Struthio camelus: one gene and its partner. The protein of the gene in region 1 interacts with the protein of each later gene in a pairwise test. Links are inferred from orthologs where the notes say so. Each region holds a gene or a part of one and is shown in the gene's direction. Other genes may lie near its edges.

Region 1 (10,185 bases):
TTCTAATGCTAAATATCTTGACTGAACATGCTGTATATCAAATATAAATAGGAAAACATTTTTCCATATGAACAGTTCCCATATAAATTTTCAGTAGTGTGTAAATTGCATGTCACTTCATTCACATATACAAATTTAGCAGCAAAGAGCATGATCCTTTCATAACAAGCTGGCCAACATAGGCGAAGGAAATCGTGATTTTACAGATCAAATACCTTAAACCATGAAAGTTGGATGCTAAGACTTCCTTTTCCTTTTGTAGATATTTTAATGGAGCAGCTTAATTTCAGCACTGTTTTTCTTGATCAGGATGGTATACAATGTAGAACTCATTAGCTGTTAACTCCTGATGCAGAGTAATGTATTTGGAAGCTTTCTTTGTCTGTGGGATCACAAATTTCTCTGTGAATTCACTTTTACTCATTTGCGGCTTCCCTTGTGCAGTCAGCACACTGTTAATAAATGCCAGTGCGTATGTGTAGCAGTTGTGGTCATGTTCTTCATACCTAGGAAAAATATATCATTAATAAGTGTTAGCACTAATTTTTTAATTACTGTGTGGAGGAATATATTTTATTGAGCAACATAAAGGCGCACATGTTCTCCAAGAACTACTGCCGCTTGCCTTTAATGCTGGTGCTTAAATATATTCTACATATAGCAGGTTGCACTTTCCAAGCCAGAGATGCTAGAAACCATAAACTTTAAAAAAAAAAAAAGCTGCAGAGTCTAATGAGGTTTTTTTACCTACACATTAGGTTTTTGCCTTGCTAACCTTCACTCTTTGAACTGATACATCGTTACTCTGTTATCCTGAAAACTGCTTCCTGCAGCAGTAATATTATGTACCACCACCTCCACTGCTTTCAGCGTGGCATTAACCTGGAAGCCTACTTAAAACCAAGTAAATTCTATCACTAGTATCTCGATAGAGTTGCTATGCAGTGTTCCAGTCAAACTCCCATTGGTACTAAATTGTGCCAAGTGTGCAAGGACAGAAATACTAACTGAATAGGAGTCAGCGTTTAAAATGTTTTTCTTGTCCTTTTTTTTTTTTTTTAATACCTGCATATGGCACTTAGCTGTTCTCTTTTCACTGTCATAATGTTATTCAGCTTCTCCGAAATGTTTCATGTAGTCACTAACAACTTCAGCAATTTATTCCATTCGTCACTGCACAGTGCTACTCTTGCCATTGGTCCTGTATAATTGCATTTGATACGGACCTGGTCAGACTGCTGTCTGCCATCTGCCTAATCCTCAAGCTGCTTCTGTAATTGCCTGTGTCATTTTCCCTTTGTTCTTCCTAGCCCTGTGACTCATTCCTTGCTTCATATTGTTAGTGGCTCCATAGTCTGTGTTGATACAGGAAATTTTGTATAAGGCTTGCATGTTTTTGCAAGATCTGGAGACTATTGCTATCAAAACTTGTCCAGTTAAGGGTTGCTCACTGCTCTCTCCAAAGCTTTTCTGGTTTGTTGAGTCTATTTTAAGTGACCTATGAGCTCCCATTTTGGAAGTAAGCCATGTGCTGCAGAGTACTTACTTTACCAAAATAATTGTTAAAGCAAAATTGAGCAACTTCAAGAGACCACCATCTCTGTGCGGTGCAAAACATCTGGAAATTCCATTGCAAAAAATGGTGGTTTAACTTTAGCTCAGTGTTGAGTCTGCAAAGCACTGCAGCACGTCCTGAAAATTTATGTATATGCATAAGTGCTTTAGTGAATCAGTGCCATGATAGAGTAGAGCAGATGTTTAACAAATCTCATTTCTGGATGCAGACTCTCTTTGTTTTTCATAATGCAATTGATTCTGTAATACCCTTCTTAGCATCTGTGTTTCCAAGTTAGTGTCTTTTTTTTTGGGAAGCATGTCTTGATGTCTTAACAAGCAAAACCCAATATTTTTCACTAACGTAAGATATTTCTGGTCATGTCTGCACTTGCTGTTGTTTGCTGCCTTTATATACCATCCTTCCAGTAAGTGAAAAGCAAACAGGAGAATTAGAATTAGGCTTGGCCCAAACCCAAAGGAGAGGTACAGGATTAGTTTAGCACAGTTCCTGTCCTGTTAAAAAAAATAAACCGAGGATTTAAATTAACTTCTAAAAAAACTCACTTTTCAGCACTTTAGTGGTCACTCTTCTATTTCTGGAACAAGTAGGCCACTTTGACAGGAGGTGGCAGACAGGGTATCTATCAACTATTCTTTGCATTCAAGGGAAAAATCAAAGAAAGGTACATACACCTACCCTCTCCTCTACCATTGCTTTTTGACAGCACATTAATTTTAATAACAACATTAATGCACCGGGAATTGTAAAAGTGTCAGATACTTGAAACACCAATGGGATTTTTGTTCTATAGACACTTAAAATTGGATCCTAGATCAAATTCTTGCATCTCCTGATATTAGGGACATAACTTGCTCTGAAATTTTACGGTCAAGCACCTACAGAACTGCTAAACCTGTTTTGGGTCCCCCCCCCCCCTTTTATATAAGATGCTGTCTACTGCCATTAACATAACTCTTCGTAGAACTGGGCTCAGACAGGCTGTTTGTTAAATGTACTCTTACTAATGAAAATTTCAAAGAGCAAGCTGCTTTGTCACCAGCAAGCTTAGTGACGTGGCACCACGTTTCAGCCGGGCTGCGTAACTTGTAACACTGTCAACAGTGGCATCAACTTCAAGGAAAGCCAAAAAGGGAACTGAACGTTCCAGTTGGAACATACTAGTTGAATTCAAAATACGTGGAAGTTTTTCTGTATCTAACCAGCCAAAACAAAATGCTACAAACCAGCTGGAAGAGCTGATCACTGGCAATGAGCGAGTCCTCTGGATGTCAGCTCTGAGCAAGAATCCCATCAATATGGTCAGGATTTCAGCCTTTAAATCCAAATTCACCTAGGACAGTTGAATTCTAGGACAAATATAATTATACAGTTGTACCTGGATTTCTCTACTTCTGTAGCCTTTCTTAACACAGCACATTCCTTAAGGCTGTGTTTCAGTGAATTGGTCTTTTCCCCTGCAAAATTATTTTGTTGCTGAAGAAAACTTCCCGAAAACATTCTTTTCGGTTAAGGCTTCTACATTCCAGCAGGTGAGTTTAAGTTAGTTACTACTTTAATGCTATTGTTCTGTTTAGCAAGGCCAATGAGTTTCTAGATTACTTAAGAGTTGTTTAGACTTGTTAGACACGCGTGTCTAACAGAGCAAGCCTCTGAAGCCTTGGAGGATCCAAAACAGAATAACCAAATTTATCATCCTAGATTAAATACTCCTATTAAATCCAGCTTTTAAGCTACCTACCTGTGAGGTAGCCAGGCCTCTCCCGCAGAAAATTCCTCTAGGAGCTTATCCCATTGGTGAAGAAGCCCAAACATGTCTGGCTGTACTAGTGGGATACTAATGCACTGTTCCCATCCAGTTTCATCTCTGTGAATGCCCTCTTCATCGTAATTATATACCAAGCCTGAAAATAGAGAGCAGCAGACAGTCAGGTAGTACTGAAGGATCAGGTGGAAAGCCATTCCCCAGTGATGAAAGCTGCTACTGATTTTCCACAACGCCGTTCTTATTTAGACTAGTTATACCATAGCTTTCCGATCAGTGGCCTCCTCCTGCTACAGAGTGAAACCTAATTATTATTATTTTTTAAATCAAGGAACTGTTCACAATTCAACATTGTGCTTTCGCATATCTTTGCATAACGAAGACAACTTAAGGACAGAAAGGCTTCTTTTTTAAACCCCAAAGTAGACCATTTCTATATTAAATAAACATTCCCTTGACATGTTTGCAATTGAGACATGCTCAATGCTTCTACTGTGTGAGAACGGGAGAGTAAATCAACTAGGAAGGGATAAGGAACTGAGAACAGTCCCACTTTGTTGTTCAAGATGAGTAAATTAGAAAACAGAAAGTATGTGGTACAGAATAAAATATAAAAGTTTTTAGGTATCAATATCGAAGACATTAATCCAGCACACGGACCAGGATTTCCTTTAAAATACAATTTCTAACATGACTTTTTTGTATCATTACGGCTGTATTTTGAGAATTAGCAAAAACTGTGCTGAATTGGAAGTTTCCTGAAACTTCTTTAGAAGGACAGGCTGCTGCGTTTTTATTTCTGAGTCCAGGAAGAGCAGTCAGCGGTGCATGCCATTCTGTGCAGCTGCTCAGAACGGAGGTGGCCCTGGGGAGCCACGGCCTAGGGGCTCTGATTTGAAGCTCTTTGTGCTCGCTGCTGCAGGGCACGATAAACGGTCGGCCCAAGGTATTTCGGCCTGTGAGCGATACTCCTTAGACGTCAACAGCGAGGCCTCCGGTTTGCGTACCCGCAGCAGCGTGAGGAAGCGTGCGTTCTTCAGCAGCAAACATCAGATACCGGGGCGCTACAGCTCGCCTTTTTAACATTAAGTTCCAAACAGCTGCACAGCAATAGATTTGGCTCTGAAATGACTGTCACGCAATTCGATCGCCTTCGAAGGCGGAGAGCGGCAAAGCTAAACTGGGAACACAGCTTACACACGAGGGATGGGAGACCGGCAGCAGGCACCAGAGCACTTCTTACCATTCATGTTGCTGATTCCAACATGAAGATCGGACTTCCCATCATAGCCTCTGAAAGGAAAAGAGCAGTATTTCTGTGCTTGTTCCCGTTAGACACGGCCTTCAAACGTCCCTTTTCCCAGAACAGCTGCTACCTCCTGGGCTACCCGGCCCCAGGCCGCTGGCAGGCCGGAGGGAGGCGGAAAGGAGCCGCCAGCGGGCGAAGGGCACGTGAAGCTGGGGGGCCGCAAACCCCAGCAGGCTCCCTCCCCCGGCCGAGGGCAGCCCGCGGGCGGCAAGGGGGGCAGCCGACGCCCCGGGCCCCCAGGCCGCCGCCGCCGCCGCCCGCCCGCCCGGCCCGGCCGTACCCGAGGAAGGCGGCGGGGCCGGCGGGCCGCAGCAGGAAGGCGCCGCGCTGGCGGTGCCCGCGGCGGAAGGGGCTGGGGAGGCGCACGGGGGCGGCGGGCAGCGCGGCGCCGCGCAGGGGGCGGCCGCAGGCCGGGCAGCGCGCCGGCGGGCGGCGGCAGAAGATGTCGGGCCCGCAGTGCCGCAGCCGCACGATGGCGGCCGTGGCCATGGCGGCCGCCGCTCTGCCCCGAGCCCGGCCCGGCCAAACCCATTGCGCCGCCTTCCGGCCTCCGCTCGCCTCGATGGCTCGCGTGAGCGACGCTCTAGCCTGCCCTCGCGCGCCTCCGTGGCGCGGTGCGTCACTGAATGGTGTCCCCCGGCGCTGGCTGGCTGGCCAAGGGGCGGGGAGCGCGCGGAGGAGGGCGGCCCCGGCCCGGCCCCGCCTCGCGCTCTCCCGAGGCTGAGCGGAACCAAGAGCGCGCGCCGCGCGGAGCCGGCCGGGCGGCGGCGCCGGCGGGGCGGCGGCCAAGATGAGCACGAAGGAGGTGACCTGCAGGTGAGCGCGGCCCGGCCCAGCCCGGCCCGGCCCGGCTCGGCCCGGCCCGGCTCGGTTCGGTTCGGCCTGGCCTGGCCTTGTCCCAGCCCCGGCTTAGCCCCGGCCCCTCGGGACAGCGGAGCCGCTCGGGGCCTTCGGCCCACGGTGGCGACAAGGCGTCCCACCCCCCCCGAGCCTTGGCGCTTCCCCTCGGCCCGGCCCGGCCCGGCGGCGGGAGCGCTTCTCTTTTCCCGGATTCCCCCCAGCTCAGCGACACCGGTCAAAAACTTGGTAATTGGCCAAGTGCGTCTGTGAGGGACGAGGGGAGGTGGTGTCTGTGTTGTCTCGGGCTGTTTGGAGGGAGGGGGGAGGCGTAGAGAGCTTTGTAGCTTTTTTATGCATCGTTTCCTAACAGAGGATTCTCCTTTGGAGAAAGGCCAAAGATCAGGTTTGAGCTGGAAATGTTAGCTGAAGTTTCTTCTGGGAAGTAAACCACTGCTATGCTGATTTTTACAAAACAGGTGTCTATGACCATAATTACTTTTCTCTCAGGTATTATATGCAAGGAGTATGTCGGGAGGGAAATAAGTGTCTGTTTTCGCATGACTTATCTACAAGCAAGCCGTCTACTATTTGCAAATATTACCAGAAGGGACAGTGTGCCTATGGAACTCGGTGCAGGTAAAGACCATAGTTTTGGGGGGGGGGGGGGGTGTTGAGCTTTTCAGAACCAGAAATAATAATCATGTGCAGTAGGCCTTAGACTCCAGTGAATGGAAGATCAAGAAAGGATGAGACTTCTAAAATGACAAAAGGAATGAAATAATATATTAAATAATGAGGTGGTTTTTTTCCTCTGCCAAAACCAGCTTACGAATGCAATACTGTCTGGCTCCGTTTTAGCTTTAGCAGTTATCTTACTCTGTAGAAATTAAATTTCAGGTTTCAAGTGTATTTTCACCCAGTTCTTAGTAGTATTTTAAGAACTGTTAAATTATTAAGAACTGCTAAAAACAACCTTTGATGTGTACCATTGCACAAAGTAGTATCTACTGGAATTGTTTATTTTTCATATTGCTGAGTTGGATGGAAGCGGACAGTGTTTCAGAAGTGCTTTACTCAGTTCATGTGATGTAGGTTGGAGCCTTGTTCTTTCAGATCCTAATGCAGAATGTGGAGGACTGTCAGTTCTGTGTTAGAGCAAAGTGATTTTATTCACCCTCTGTCAGGTTCTGTGGGAAAGTGGAAGACGTGCCACACCCTTTCCTAAAGCCTTCTTGGTAAAATTCTTTGGGAAATACTCTAGTAAATATTAGATGTTAGTAAACGTTGTTACATCCCATGAGAGATGTGCCACAGGGCAACTCATGACTCCTTCATGGAAAAATTCTGGTCACAGGTAAGAAAGCTTTGTACGTTCACCTGAGAAGAACGGGAGATCTCACAGCATCGTTGTGTTTGCAATGGCTTAGTTGTATTTGCTTTTGGATTGGGAGATTGAATGTTAGTGTATTCTATAAGTGTCTTTAGTTGCTCAAACTGAATTTGTAGTTTATTATTCATCAGGACCACGTTGTATGCTGACTGGGAAATAATGACAGCTGCAGAGCGTGTTGGTTTTACTCCAGTTGCCTTGTTGGTGTTCAGGGCACTTGATGCACGCAAGCTGTTCGTGTGTATGGCAAACTTGCAGGTGCTACGTACAGGGCTAGAAACAAACAGGGAGAATTCTCTCCTTCCCTTCAAAAATATTCTAGGATTCAGGTATGTCCGTGGCTTTACTGTACCAGCCTTTTTATTGCACTAATTGCTTCTGTTCTATTGCTGGAGTATATTTCCAGAGCTTTACTGGATATTCCGAGTCCTTTCCTAGCCCGTGTTCAAATAGTGCATCTTCTGCCTGTGGTGCGAGGGCATAAAGTTTGTGTTACTGCTTGTGAGGGGAACATGAGCGATCATAAAACGTCACTCATTACTGCATAGCGTTTTGATGTCGCTTTTTTGAGAAATGTCAGCAAACCTGTTTGTGTGAGGGAATGACGAAGATCTAATTTAATATGCACATGAATAATGTTCTTTCAGCCATGCCATGCTGCACGTCTCCGGAGAAGAAAATATAGGTGTGCTTTCAGAGGCGTACATTTTCGTAGGTGTTTCAGAGACACTGAGAAACCCAGTGGCCTGGCTTTGAAAGGGACCGAGCTGACTGTTGTTAGGTCAACTTCTTGTCAAAATAACCCTTTTTTTAAGACAGCTATTCAGTTTGATTTATGTTAAATAAAGGCGAAGGTGTTCATCAGGGGACCTTTCCATTTCCACTATTCCCTGAGTTTAGTCTTTGTAGCGTTTATTCTGGCTTTTCCCTTCTGTAGATATGATCACACCAGACTTCCTGCGTCGGGGGGTGCAGCGGGTCCTGTGCCGCCTCCCCTTTCATCATCAGCCCTGCACAATCCTCGCCACCCCCCAGAGCAGAGCGCACCAGTAATCAAGAGCAAACTGCATGAGACTGGCAAACGGGAAAAGAAGACGTTAGTGCTCAGGGACAGAAGTGAGTACCTTGCTGACGTTCCTCAATGCTTTCCTCTCATCTTTGATAGAAGTTAGCTAGTTTTACACCTCTAATTAATTATATTTCACTGACAGCTAGAGAGTGGTGTAGTATGCCTTCCTGCTTCATGAGATCCCTTTTCTCGAAAGACCCATGCCTGTCAGTAGCTTGTAATCATATCAGTTTTAACTGGCTGGTTTTTAACCTGGTGTTCCCTGAAAGATTTTTTTTCTTCAAGATTCCCTGCCCCTCAGATCTTTTTGTGCGTTTTGTTCTCAACATGAGGGCTTTTGAAATGGTGAGAAACTTGACTGCTTTATACCAGGGTATTGTCAGGTTGGGGGACTGAACTAGCACAAGCACAGAGACATCCTTCCGTGCCTGATGCCTGAGGACAGGGGAGCCACCTCCCCCCCCCCCCCCCCCGGTCACTGGCACGCCTACACGATTTCCCCACCCTGTTCTTCCTATCGCACTCTACGTGTCAGTTGCCCACATGTGAATTTGGAGGATTTTTGTCCTATTTGTAAGCAGAAGATAGCTAAAAAGACCTTAAAATCAGGCTTTGCAGCAGGTAGTTTGATGGAAAAAGTTATTGCGCTTTGTGAGCAAAAGGGGCTTTGAGATGAGAAAATTTCCTTCTAAAGAAAACTTTTTTTTTTTTTTGAACTGTCAATCATTGAAAAGAAAGTATGTGGAGCTCCATATGTGAGTTTTGTGCTGTGCCTTGAATGGTTCATGTTATGTTTCTATTTCTTAAGATCTGTGTGGTTTGAATGAAGAAAAGCAGAAACCCAGTGCCACAAGTGATGTGGTATGTTGCAGCGACAAAAATGATAATCTGGAAATGAAACCCCATTCGTATTTGGAAGCTATTTGCAGTGGACTGGAAGATCCAGTAGCTGGAAGTTCCTGTGTTGATGGAGAGCAGTTATGCCCTTACGCTGCAGCAGGAGCATGCCACTTTGGAGATCGCTGCCTTTACCTCCATGGAGACGTGTGTGAAATATGTGGATTGCAAGTACTTCATCCTTTTGACCAAGAACAGAGGAAGGCTCATGAGATGGTAATATTTTGGTTTGCTTGCTCTGAAATCCGAAGATGTGTTCTGCAGAGCAGCCTGTTGTTCCAAAGGGCTTTTTTTGTTTGTCGAGGTATAAAATGATTCTGAGAGAGGCCTGCTCAAGCATCTAGGACTTACACTCGTGGGTAGCAATGATGCAGATAGCCTTTCACAGCAACTTATTTTTCTCCCTTTCATCTTAATGGGAAACTTGCCTCCGATCTTCCCCCAAAACACCTAAAACTGTCTAGAAAACATCTTTTGTAGCTATATCAGATGTCTCAACACTATGTTATGTATAGCAGAGGGAGGAGGAATTCTAGAGAGCTGGTGCTTTCAGCTAGGTCATCCTGCCGGTCTCCGGACTCACCTCTTCAGATGTCGCAGCTTGATGTGGCTGCTTTTCAGGGCAGCATAAACAAACTGAACAGAGGACAAAGATTTTGGAGCTCAATTTGAGGCAGGAAGGCTGGTTGAGGAATTAGTTGGGTAAAGATGGGCTCAAGAGTCTGGTCTTTTCTCTTTTTGTCTGCCAGATTTGGGTAAGGGCTGAGAAGGAACAAGAGTTTTTGAGGCAGAGGAGGAAAAGACCAGAAGTTTTAGCGGTAAATGGTAAAGCTCTCCAGAGCCTAGAGTAGAATTCAAGGGGCCCAAACCTCGGCTCTTACGCTGTCAGCATTTGCTCGCAGCACATGCAGGGGTAGGAGTGCTCGCTTCCCCCAGGGGCTTGTTGATACTCGGCACGGTATCCTGTCACCGTTGCTGTCTGTTAGTCAGCCTCTGGAATGCTGGTGCTGTTAACGTGGAATTATTTTGTGTCCTTCTTTTCTTAAGTCTGTTAAATTTATGTTATTTGTCAAGTCCTGAGAATGTTGAAAAGCGAGAGTTAAAACTATGCAATTATCGCCACCAGCTCACCTTACAATGCTGCGCAAGTAAATTGATTATTGATTGTCACTACTTGGATACTGTCAATGCTCTTGGAAAGCCAATAACAAGAGACTGTAATCCCTTATTTAGGATAAAGTTCGTGTGATATCTGGTGGATGAGGAGTGCAGCCTTACGCTAAACAGAGTAGCATCTTGAATTTGGCAATCTGTCTAATTCTGGATTGTGAATTAGATA
Region 2 (10,091 bases), on another chromosome or scaffold:
CCTCGCCTTCCTCCTCCTCCTCGCCTTCCTCCTCCTCCTCCTCCTCGCCTTCCTCCTCCTCCTCGCCTTCCTCCTCCTCCTCGCCTTCCTCCTCCTCCTCGCCTTCCTCCTCCTCCTCGCCTTCCTCCTCCTCCTCGCCTTCCTCCTCCTCCTCGCCTTCCTCCTCCTCCTCGCCTTCCTCCTCCTCCTCGCCTTCCTCCTCCTCCTCCTCCTCGCCTTCCTCCTCCTCCTCCTCCTCGCCTTCCTCTTCCTCCTCCTCCTCGCCTTCCTCTTCCTCCTCCTCTTCCTCCTCGCCATTCTCACCTTGCTCGCTGCTCTCCTCCTCCTCACCTTCCTCTGCCTCCTCCGCCTCCTTGTCACCCTCCTCTTCATCACTCTCCTTGCCCTCCTCCTTCTCCCCCTCCTCGTCTTCGCCCTCCTCGCCCTCGCTGTCATCATCTTCACCCGCATCGTCCTCTCCTTCCTGCCCCTCCTCCTCCTCCTCGCTCTCCTCGTTGTCACCATCGCCCTCCTCGCGCTCTTCCTCGCCCTTCTCATCCTCTCCCTCATCCTTGTCCTCACCGTCATCATCCTCCCTCTCACTCTCATCCTCCCTCTTCTTCTCCTCGCCTTCCTCCTCCTCCTCCTCTTCACCCCCGCCCTCACCGTAGCCTTCCTCATGCTCCTCTTCACCCTCACCTTCCTCCTCCTCCTCCCCCCACCCAACACTGGAAACGCCAAACACTACTGACACGGGGACCCTCCCCCGCACCCTCCCGGACGCCTGGGCCCCTCCCGGACATCGGGCCCCTCCCGGACAACTGGGACCCTCCTCGGATACCTGCGACCCTCCCGGACGCCTGGGTCCCTTCCTGGGCACCTGGGCCCCTCCCCGGACGCCTGGGACCACCCGGACGCCTGGGCCCCTCCCCAGATGCCCGGGCCCCTCCCCGGACGCCTGGGACCACCCGGACGCCTGGGCCCCTCCCCAGATGCCTGGGGCCCTCCCCGGACGCCTGGGACCACTCGGACGCCTGGGCCCCTCCAACTCGGGCTGTCTCCACTCGACCCTTTCAGCCGCTTTCTCATTTGTCCGCGGGGGCCTCGTTAGTGCGGGGAGGGGGGTTAATGAGGGGTGGGGGTGGGTGGGGGAGGGGCTGGGCGGAGCCGGAAATTTTTACACTTAATATATAGAATTTTTTTTCTTTTTTTTTTCTTTTTTTGGTGAGCTGCTGGTTTCTGCCTCGTCTGTCCCGGGGGTGGGGGGCGCCCGGACGCCTGGGCCCCCTTGGTAGGGGGTGGGGGGGGAAGGGCAGGGGCTCCCTCCCCCCAGGGGACCCAGGCGTCCGGCTTGCCTCCCCGCCCCCGTTCTCTGACGCACAGAGACCTGCCCGGGGCCCAGGCGTCCGGGAAGGGACCCAGGCGTCCGGGGATTTCCCGGCTCAGTGAAGCAACGATTCTTGGAAGGTCTCAGAGCCCGTTGCGACAGGCGCGGCCCGGACGCCTGGGCCCCTGGGGGATGCGAGGTGTGGGAGAGCCTCAGCCGGACGCCTGGGTCCCTTTTATTTGGGGGGGGGTGGGGAGAAGCCCCGGACGCCTGGGTCCCTCGCTGGGGGAGGGGAGGCTCCCGGACGCCCGAGTTCCTGAGCCCTGAGTCACCGGGGTGGGGTGGGGGGGTTGCGTCACACTCCCGAAACGGGGCTGGCTAGGGAGGGCCCAGGCGTCCGGCCCCCCCCCCCCCCCAGGGACCCAGGCGTCCGGCCCCCCCCCCCCCCCCCTGCCGAGGGACCCAGGCGTCCGGGCGCCCCCGCACGTATCCGCCTCGGGTTGTGCAACCTGGAAAAAACCCGGCCATGGCATGACACGCGTGTTGAGGGGGGGCTATAGGGGCCCATAGGGACCTATAGGGGTTTCGGGGTGTAGGGGTGGGGGGGTGAGACTCTATAGGGGCCTTACGGGGGTCGGGGTGTGTGTAGGGGGGCTGGGGCTCTATAGGGGGTGGGGGGCGTGAGGCCGCTGCACCCCCCCATAGGGCCCCCACACCCCCCCCATAGGGCCCCCGCACCCCTATGCACCCCTATGCACCCCTATACACCCCCCCACTCCCCATGCACTGCACGTGCCCCCGTATGCCCCTATACACCCGTGTGTGCCCTTATGCGACAGTGCACCCCCTCTGCGCCCCATACACTGCGTCTGCCCATATGTTCCCTGGCACCCTATGTGCTTCTATACCCCCCCGTGCACTCCTATACACCCCTATACAACAGAATATCTCCTGCACCCCTATACCTCCTCTATACCCCTATATATCTCATGCACGCCTATGTGCCCATATGGCCCCGTATACCTCCTATATGCACCCCTATATAGTAGTGGAGCCCTTCTACACACCTATACACCCCCTACCCTCCATGTACCCCTATATCCCATGCACCGCTGTGCACTCCATACACCCACATACCCCCCTATGGACCCCTACACACCCCTATGTAGTGCAATGCACCCTATGATCCCCTATATGCTGCTATACCCCCCCATGGACCCCATGCAGCCCCAGTACCCTGATACTCTCCTCCATACTGCTCTATACCCCCTCAATGCTCCCTATACCCCCCAATACTTCCTATATCTCTTATATCCACCATACTCCCTATACCCCCATATTCCTCCACACTCCCTATACCCTCCATATCCCCTACACTCCCTATACCCTCTATATCCCCTATACCGCCATATCCCCTGAAACCCCTATATCCCCCCATACCCTCATATCCCATATATCCTCCCATACCCCCTACATCCCTCCATAACCCCGTATCTCCTATACTTCCCTATATCCTCCTATACCCCCATACCTCCTATACCCCTTATATCCCCATAACCCCCTATATGCCCTATAACCCCTATACCACCTATATTCCCCTCTACCCCCCATATCACCTCTATCTCCCCATAACCCCTATATCCCTTATACCCCCTATATTCCCCCATAACCCCTATATCACCTATACTGCCTATGTACCCCTATTTCCCCTATATCCCTTATATCCTCCATAACCACTATATCCCCTATACTGCCTATGTCCCCCATAACCCCTATATCCCCTATACCCTTTGTATCCCCCATAACCCCTATATCCCATATACTGCCTATATCCCCTATAACCCCTATATCCCCCTATACCCTCTATATCCCCCTATATCCCCATAACCCTTATACCCCCTATACCCCCTATATACCCCTATGTCCCCTATACCCCCCATATGCCCCCATAAGCCCTATAGCCCCATATCCCTTATTCCCCCCTACCCCCTCCCCGCCCCCGCGGTGGGCGGAGCCGGCTCCTCCCTCGCCCCGCCCCGCCCCGCCCCGCCGACCTCACCTCCCTCCCTCCCGCTCCCCCGCCAGCCAATCGGAAGCCGGGTCGGCGCCCCGCCCCGGCCTTCCGCGCGGCGCGGCCAATGGGAGGCGCCGGCGGGGCGGCGGGGGCGGGGCGGGGGGAGGCGAAGCTATAAGAAGGGCGCGGCGGCGCCGGCCGCCATTTTACAGCGATGGCGGCGGCGGCGGCGGCGACAACGACGACGACGACGACGGGGGCGGGGGCGGCTTGGCGGGCGGCGGCGGGCGGCGGGGGCGGCCCGGGCAGCGGCTTCGCCTCCCCGCCGCGGCGCTTCACCTTCGAGCTGCCGCCGCCGCCGCCCGCCGCCGCCCCCCGGCCCCGCCGCCGCCAGCGCCGCGTCCTCTACCCGCCCGCCGTGAGTAGCGCCGGGGGGGCGGGGGGCTCCCCGGACGCCTGGGCCCCCTCTTTTAGGGGTGTTTGGGGGGGGGTCCCCGGACGCCTGGGCCCCCTTCTGGGGGTGTTTGGGGGGGGGCTCTCTGGACGCCTGGGCCCCCCCTTCTGGGGGTGTTTGGGGGGGGCTCCCCAGACGCCTGGGCCCCCTCTTTTAGGGGTGTTTTGGGGGGGCTCCCCGGACGCCTGGGCCCCCTTCTGGGGGTGTTTGGGGGGGGGCTCCCCGGACGCCTGGGCCCCCTTCTGGGGGTGTTTGGGGGGGGCTCCCCGGATGCCTGGGCCCCCTTCTGGGGGTGTTTTGGGGGGGGCTCTCTGGACGCCTGGGCACTCTTAGGGGTGTTGGGGTGCTCCCCGGATGCCTGGGCCCCCCCTTCTGGGGGTGTTTGGGGGGGGCTCCCCAGACGCCTGGGCCCCCTCTTTTAGGGGTGTTTTGGGGGGGCTCCCCGGACGCCTGGGCTCCCCCCGGGGGTGTTATGGGGGGGCTCCCCAGACGCCTGGGCCCCCTCTTTTGGGGGTGTTTGGGGGAGGGGCTCCCCGGACGCCTGGGCCCCCTTAGGGGTGTTGGGGTGTTCCCCGGATGCCTGGGCCCCCCCTTCTGGGGGTGTTTGGGGGGGGGGGCTCCCCGGACGCCTGGGCCCCCTCTTTTAGGGGTGTTTTGGGGGGGGGCTCCCTGGACGCCTGGGCCCCCTTAGGGGTGTTGGGGTGTTCCCCGGATGCCTGGGCCCCCCCTTCTGGGGGTGTTTGGGGGGGGGCTCCCCGGATGCCTGGGCCCCCCCTCTCTGGGGGTATTTTGAGGGCTGCCCGGACTCCTGGGCCCCCGGAAGCTGCCGATTTCCCCTGCCGCAGGGGGGTGATTCATGATTCCTTCTCCACCTGACTCATCCCCCCCCACCCCCGCAGTGGGCCCAGGTGTCCGAGGCTCCCATCATGGGGGGGGGGGAGGCGATTTTTTAATTACCCCAATGATGCTGCAGGGCCAGGGCGGGTTGGGAGGCGAATGGGGGACACGTGGGAGCACTGGGGGGGTATTTGTCCCCTCGGGGGGGGTTAATTTGCCCCCCAGGGCAGTTGCTGACGGACTGATTTCCCCCCCCCCAGGTGCGACGGACGCCCCCCGGCGAGGAGCCGAGTCCGGCCAAGAGGCTCCTGGTGCTGCTGCTGGCGGTGGTGGGCGCCCAGGTATACAGCACCCCCGGGGAGGGGACGCCCCCCGGGACACCCGCCGGGACCCCCAGGACACCCGCCGGGACCCCCATGACACCAGTGACACCCATCAGGACACCAGTAATACCCACGACACCCGCCATGACCCCCACGACGCCCGCCAAGACCCCCACGACACCCACTGTGACACCCGCCACAGCACCCAGGACGCTCGGGGCCACCCCTGGGTCCCCCCCATCTGGGGACAGGACAGTTTTGGGGACATCCGCGGGGCTGCAGGCACCTAACGGCACCCTGGGGACCGGGGCACCCACGGGTGCCCCTTCCTGCCCCCGGCCGCTGCTCTCCCCTGCCCTGCTGCCCCCCGCTGCTGGCCCAGGGCCCGCGGCCCGCTGAGGGGCACCCGCCGTGGGGCGGCACCCAGGACCCGGCACCCGCCGTGGGGCGGCACCCAGGATGATGGACTTGTGACGGTGCCCATCACCGTAGCCTCGGGGCTGCACCTCAGGGACCCTCCTGTCACTTGTGGGGAGTGGGTAGGGTGGCAGCCGGCACCTTTGGGTGCTGCCCTCGGGGTGGCTCCTGCCTGCACCCTCCCCTGGTTATTTATTTTATTTTATTTTATTTTATTTTATTTTATTTTATTTAAGTGGGATTTATTTAATTTGGGTTTTTTTCTATTTATTACTGTTATTTAAAGAGGGGCGGCGCCCCTCCCCTGACTGAGCGTATTAAAGGGGCGCGTAGGAGCCCGGCGCGGGCCCGGACGCCTGGGCCCTTAGCGAAGGGAAGAGCCGCTCGCGCGGAGGCGGGAGGAAACCGCCGGGGCGCGAAAGCGGGGAAACGAAACCGTCAAAAGGGCGATTGTTTAACGTTGGACTGTTTCGTGCGGGTTCCTCCCTGGAGGCCCCGCCCGTTACCGCCTCGTTCCGGCGTTTCATTAAATAATTAATTGAGTCGTTGGACGTGCGGGAGACGCTGCTTCTTGGGAACCGAGGTGGGGGGAGCTGGTTCCACGACATCGGTGTGAGCCCGGTGCCGGTCCGGACGAGCCCGTAGAGCCTGGTTCTGGTCTGGACGAGCCCGCGAGGCCCCGTCGGGGTCCGTAGAGCCCGGTGTCGGTCCGGACGAACCCGTAGAGCCTGGTTCTGGTCTGGACGAGCCCGCGAGGCCCCGTCGGGGTCCGTAGAGCCCGGTGTCGGTCCGGACGAGCCCGTGAGGCCCCATCGGGGTCCATAGAGCCCGGTGCCGGTCCGGACGAGCCTGTGAGGCCCCGTCGGGGTCCGTGGAGCCCGGTGCCGGTCCGGACGAGCCTGTGAGGCCCCGTCGGGGTCCGTAGAGCCCAGTTCCGGTCCGGACGAGCATGTGAGGCCCCGTCAGGGTCCATACAGCCCGGTGCCGGTCCGGACGAGCTCGCGAGGCCCCGTTGGGGTCGGTAGAGCCCGGTTCCGGTCTGGACGAGCCCGCGAGGCCCCGTTGGGGTCGGTCCAGCCCAGTGCCGGTCCGGACGAGCCCGCGAGGCCCCGTCAGGGTCCATACAGCCCGGTTCTGGCCCGGACGAGCCCGCGAGGCCCCGTCAGGGCCCATACAGCCCAGTTCCGGTCCGGATGAGCCCGTGAGGCCCCGTTCAGGTCCGTAGAGCCCGGTTCCAGTCCGGACGAGCCCATAGCGCCCTGTCGGGGTCGGTCCAGCCCGGTTCCGGTCCGGACGAGCCCGTAGCGCCCCGTCAGGGTCCATACAGCCCGGTTCTGGTCCGGACGAGCCCGTAGCGCCCCGTCAGGGTCCATACAGCCCGGTTCCAGTCCGGACGAGCCCGTAGCGCCCCGTCGGGGTCGGTCCAGCCCGGTTCCGGTCCGGACGAGCCCGTAGCACACTGTCAGGGTCCATACAGCCCGGTTCCGGTCCGGACGAGCCCGTAGCGCCCCGTCAGGGTCCATACAGCCCGGTGCCGGTCCGGACGAGCCCGCGAGGCCCCGTTCGGGTCGGTCCAGCCCGGTTCCGGTCCGGACGAGCCCGTAGCGCCCCGTCAGGGCCCATACAGCCCGGTTCCAGTCCGGACGAGCCCGCGAGGCCCGGTCGGGGTCGGTCCAGCCCGGTTCTGGTCCGGACGAGCCCGTAGCGCCCCGTCAGGGTCCATACAGCCCGGTTCCGGTCCGGATGAGCCCGTAGCGCCCCGTCAGGGTCCATACAGCCCGGTTCCGGTCCGGACGAGCCCGCGAGGCCCCTTTCGGGTCGGTACAGCCCGGTTCCGGTCCGGACGAGCCCGTAGCGCCCCGTCAGGGTCCATACAGCCCGGTTCCGGTCCGGACGAGCCCGCGAGGCCCCGTTGGGGTCGGTCCAGCCCGGTTCTGGTCCGGATGAGCCCGCGAGGCCCCGTTGGGGTCCGTAGAGCCCGGTTCCGGTCCGGACGAGCCCGCGAGGCCCGGTCGGGGTCGGTCCAGCCCGGTTCCGGTCCGGACGAGCCCGCGAGGCCCGGTCGGGGTCGGTCCAGCCCGGTTCCGGTCCGGACGCGCCGGTACCGGCTCCCCCCTCGGCTGTTGCCTCCTGGGAGCCGCGCTCGCTCTTCCGTACGCTGCCGCCTCACGAGCGCTGCCATGTTCCCCCTTCTCACTGGGCGCGGCCATCTTGCCCGCTGGCCGTACAGCCCCCCTCCCTCGCCTCGGCGGGCACTTCCGGTTCCGCCGGAAGTGGCGTCGCTCTTTCTCCGGCCGGGGTTGCCTGCCGCCTGCCGCCGCCGCCAGCGGGAGCGGCCCGGGGCCTGCGCCGAATCCGCCGCCATCCGCCCGCCGCCGCCGCCGCCGCCGCCATGACGGAGCAGATGACGCTGCGCGGCACCCTGAAGGGCCACAACGGCTGGGTGACGCAGATCGCCACCACGCCGCAGTTCCCGGACATGATCCTCTCCGCCTCGCGCGGTGAGGGCCGGGCGGGACCATCCACCCCCCTCCGGGGGGGGGGGGGGACGGGGGGGAGGGAGAGACCATCGACCCCGAGTGGGGGGGGGAGACTATCGACTCCCGGGTGTGTGGGGGGGAGACCATCGCCCCCCGGGTGTGTGGGGGGGAGACCATCGCCCCCCGGGTGTGTGGGGGGGAGACCATCGACCCCGAGTGGGGGGGGGGGGGGAAGACTATCGACTCCCGGGTGTGTGTGTGGGGGGGGGGGAAGAGAGACCATCGCCCCCCCGGGTGTGTGTGTGGGGGGGAGACCATCGGCCTCCCCCGGGTGGGGGGAAAGAGGTGCTGGGGGTGGGTGTGGGTCATGGAGGTGGGGAGAGGAGCAGGGGGAGCCTTGGCCGGGGTGGGGGAGAGACCATCAGGCTGGCGGGGTGGAGGGGGGAATGGGGCAGGCTGTCAGGCTAGGAGGGGAGAGGGGCCACGGGGAGACCCTCAGCCTGGAGGGGAGGGGGAAGATAGGGCAGGGGAGACCTTCGGCCTGGGGGAGGGGGGCAGGGGGAGACCGTCAGCCCGGAGGACAGGGGAGAGGGGGGTAGGGGGAGACCGTCAGCCCGGAGGACAGGGGAGGGGGGGCAGGGGGAGACCACCAGCTGAGGTGGAGGGAAGAGGGGGAAGATCACCGGCTTTGGGAGCAAAGAGGAGCAGAAGAGACCTTGGGGAGGGGAAAAGGGGGGAGACTATGAGTGTGCCGGGGGGAAACCGTGAGCCTAGAGGGTGGAGGAGCAGGGGGAAAGCACGGGCTGCAAGAAGAGGGGCAGGAGAAGACAACGTCCGTCGGGAAGGAAGAAGAGGGAGGGGGGCGGGGGGAGACCGTGGGCCTGAGGACGAAGAGGGAGGGAGGGAGGCAGGCAGGCAAGGGGAGACCGGGAGCTGGGGGAAGAAGGGCAGCGGGGCCGCCGGGGAGCCCGGCTCACTCTTCTCCCTGCTCTTTCTCGGTGCCGCCCAGACAAGACGATCATCATGTGGAAGCTGACGCGGGACGAGACCAACTACGGGATCCCGCAGCGAGCGCTGCGCGGTCACTCGCACTTCGTCAGCGACGTGGTCATCTCCTCGGACGGGCAGTTCGCGCTCTCGGGCTCCTGGGACGGCACGCTGCGGCTCTGGGACCTCACCACGTGAGCGAGCCGGGGCGGGCAGAGGGCAGGCGCGGGAGCCCGCCCGGCCGCCGGGCTCCGACGGCGGGGAACTCGGGCCCCTCGGCTGGGGGGACATCCTGACCTCGCGCCTGCGTCTTCCCCCGCAGCGGCACCACCACCCGCCGCTTCGTGGGCCACACCAAGGACGTGCTGAGCGTGGCCTTCTCGTCCGACAACCGCCAGATCGTTTCGGGCTCCAGGGACAAGACCATCAAGCTCTGGAACACCTTGGGCGTCTGCAAGTACACGGTGCAGGTGAGCCGGGGAAGGAGGCACCGGGGCAAGGAGTGGAGGGGGGGGGACGGTTTCGGATCACGCCGCCCCCGTTCGGCGAACAGGAGCGTAGCCGCTCCGTCGCGCCGTGAGAAAGGAGCTCCGTGGCTTTGTTTTTGGGTCTACCCGTCCGCGCCGCCCCCCGCTCGGTCGCTCTTGAGCGGGGATCCAGCTCTTCCAGCCCCGTCCCTGATGATTAGACACGATATGGTGTCTGCCGACCTCCCCCAGGGCGGGGGGGGGCCTGAGGACAAGTCCTGCAATTATGAGGGGACCTCAGGAGGGCGAGAGGAGGCCTGGGCAGGACCGACGGCGCGCGGCCCGTCTCTTCTTGCAGCGCCGCGCGGATGGGGTGGCGGCGGGCGGAAAACCACCCGGCCGCGTTCCCTCGCCGTGAACCTCCTTCCTCTCCCCAGGACGAGAGCCACTCGGAGTGGGTGTCGTGCGTGCGCTTCTCCCCGAACAGCAGCAACCCCATCATCGTCTCCTGCGGCTGGGACAAGCTGGTGAAGGTGAGGCAGAGAGCGGGGCGGCGGCGGGGCGGAGCAGCACGATTCGCTCGTCCCTTCTGACGCCGTTTGGCCCGTCCAGGTTTGGAACTTGGCTAACTGCAAGCTGAAGACCAACCACATCGGGCACACGGGCTACCTGAACACAGTGACCGTCTCCCCCGACGGCTCCCTCTGCGCCTCCGGCGGCAAGGTAGGAGGCAAATAGATCTGCTCCTCTCTTTTAGGGTGAATTCCTAATTCCTCTCCAGCGCGTTCGGGCTCAGGGACCATCTT

What was found. The genes of interacting proteins can lie anywhere in the genome.
Region 2: the proteins of MKRN2 (region 1) and RACK1 interact in binary tests that used the Homo sapiens proteins (3 or more experiments, as listed by UniProt). The two-hybrid records come from large-scale screens. The link is inferred for Struthio camelus from reciprocal best matches to the Homo sapiens genes MKRN2 and RACK1.

What each region holds. Positions count from the first base shown.
Region 1 is NC_090955.1:20,005,765-20,015,949, reverse strand, and holds the start of MKRN2 (E3 ubiquitin-protein ligase makorin-2), read left to right. Parts: upstream 1-5,343; 5' UTR 5,344-5,440; coding exon 5,441-5,466; exon of another isoform or gene 5,467-5,736; intron 5,737-5,997; coding exon 5,998-6,126; intron 6,127-7,817; coding exon 7,818-7,996; intron 7,997-8,757; coding exon 8,758-9,062; intron 9,063-10,185. Other genes in the region: MKRN2OS (MKRN2 opposite strand protein), read right to left, coding at 287-506, 3,318-3,480, 4,585-4,634, 4,931-5,139. UniProt on the Homo sapiens protein: E3 ubiquitin ligase catalyzing the covalent attachment of ubiquitin moieties onto substrate proteins.
Region 2 is NC_090977.1:570,426-580,516, reverse strand, and holds the start of RACK1 (small ribosomal subunit protein RACK1), read left to right. Parts: upstream 1-5,431; 5' UTR 5,432-7,743; coding exon 7,744-7,852; intron 7,853-8,840; coding exon 8,841-9,012; intron 9,013-9,140; coding exon 9,141-9,288; intron 9,289-9,722; coding exon 9,723-9,818; intron 9,819-9,897; coding exon 9,898-10,008; intron 10,009-10,091. UniProt on the Homo sapiens protein: Scaffolding protein involved in the recruitment, assembly and/or regulation of a variety of signaling molecules. Interacts with a wide variety of proteins and plays a role in many cellular processes.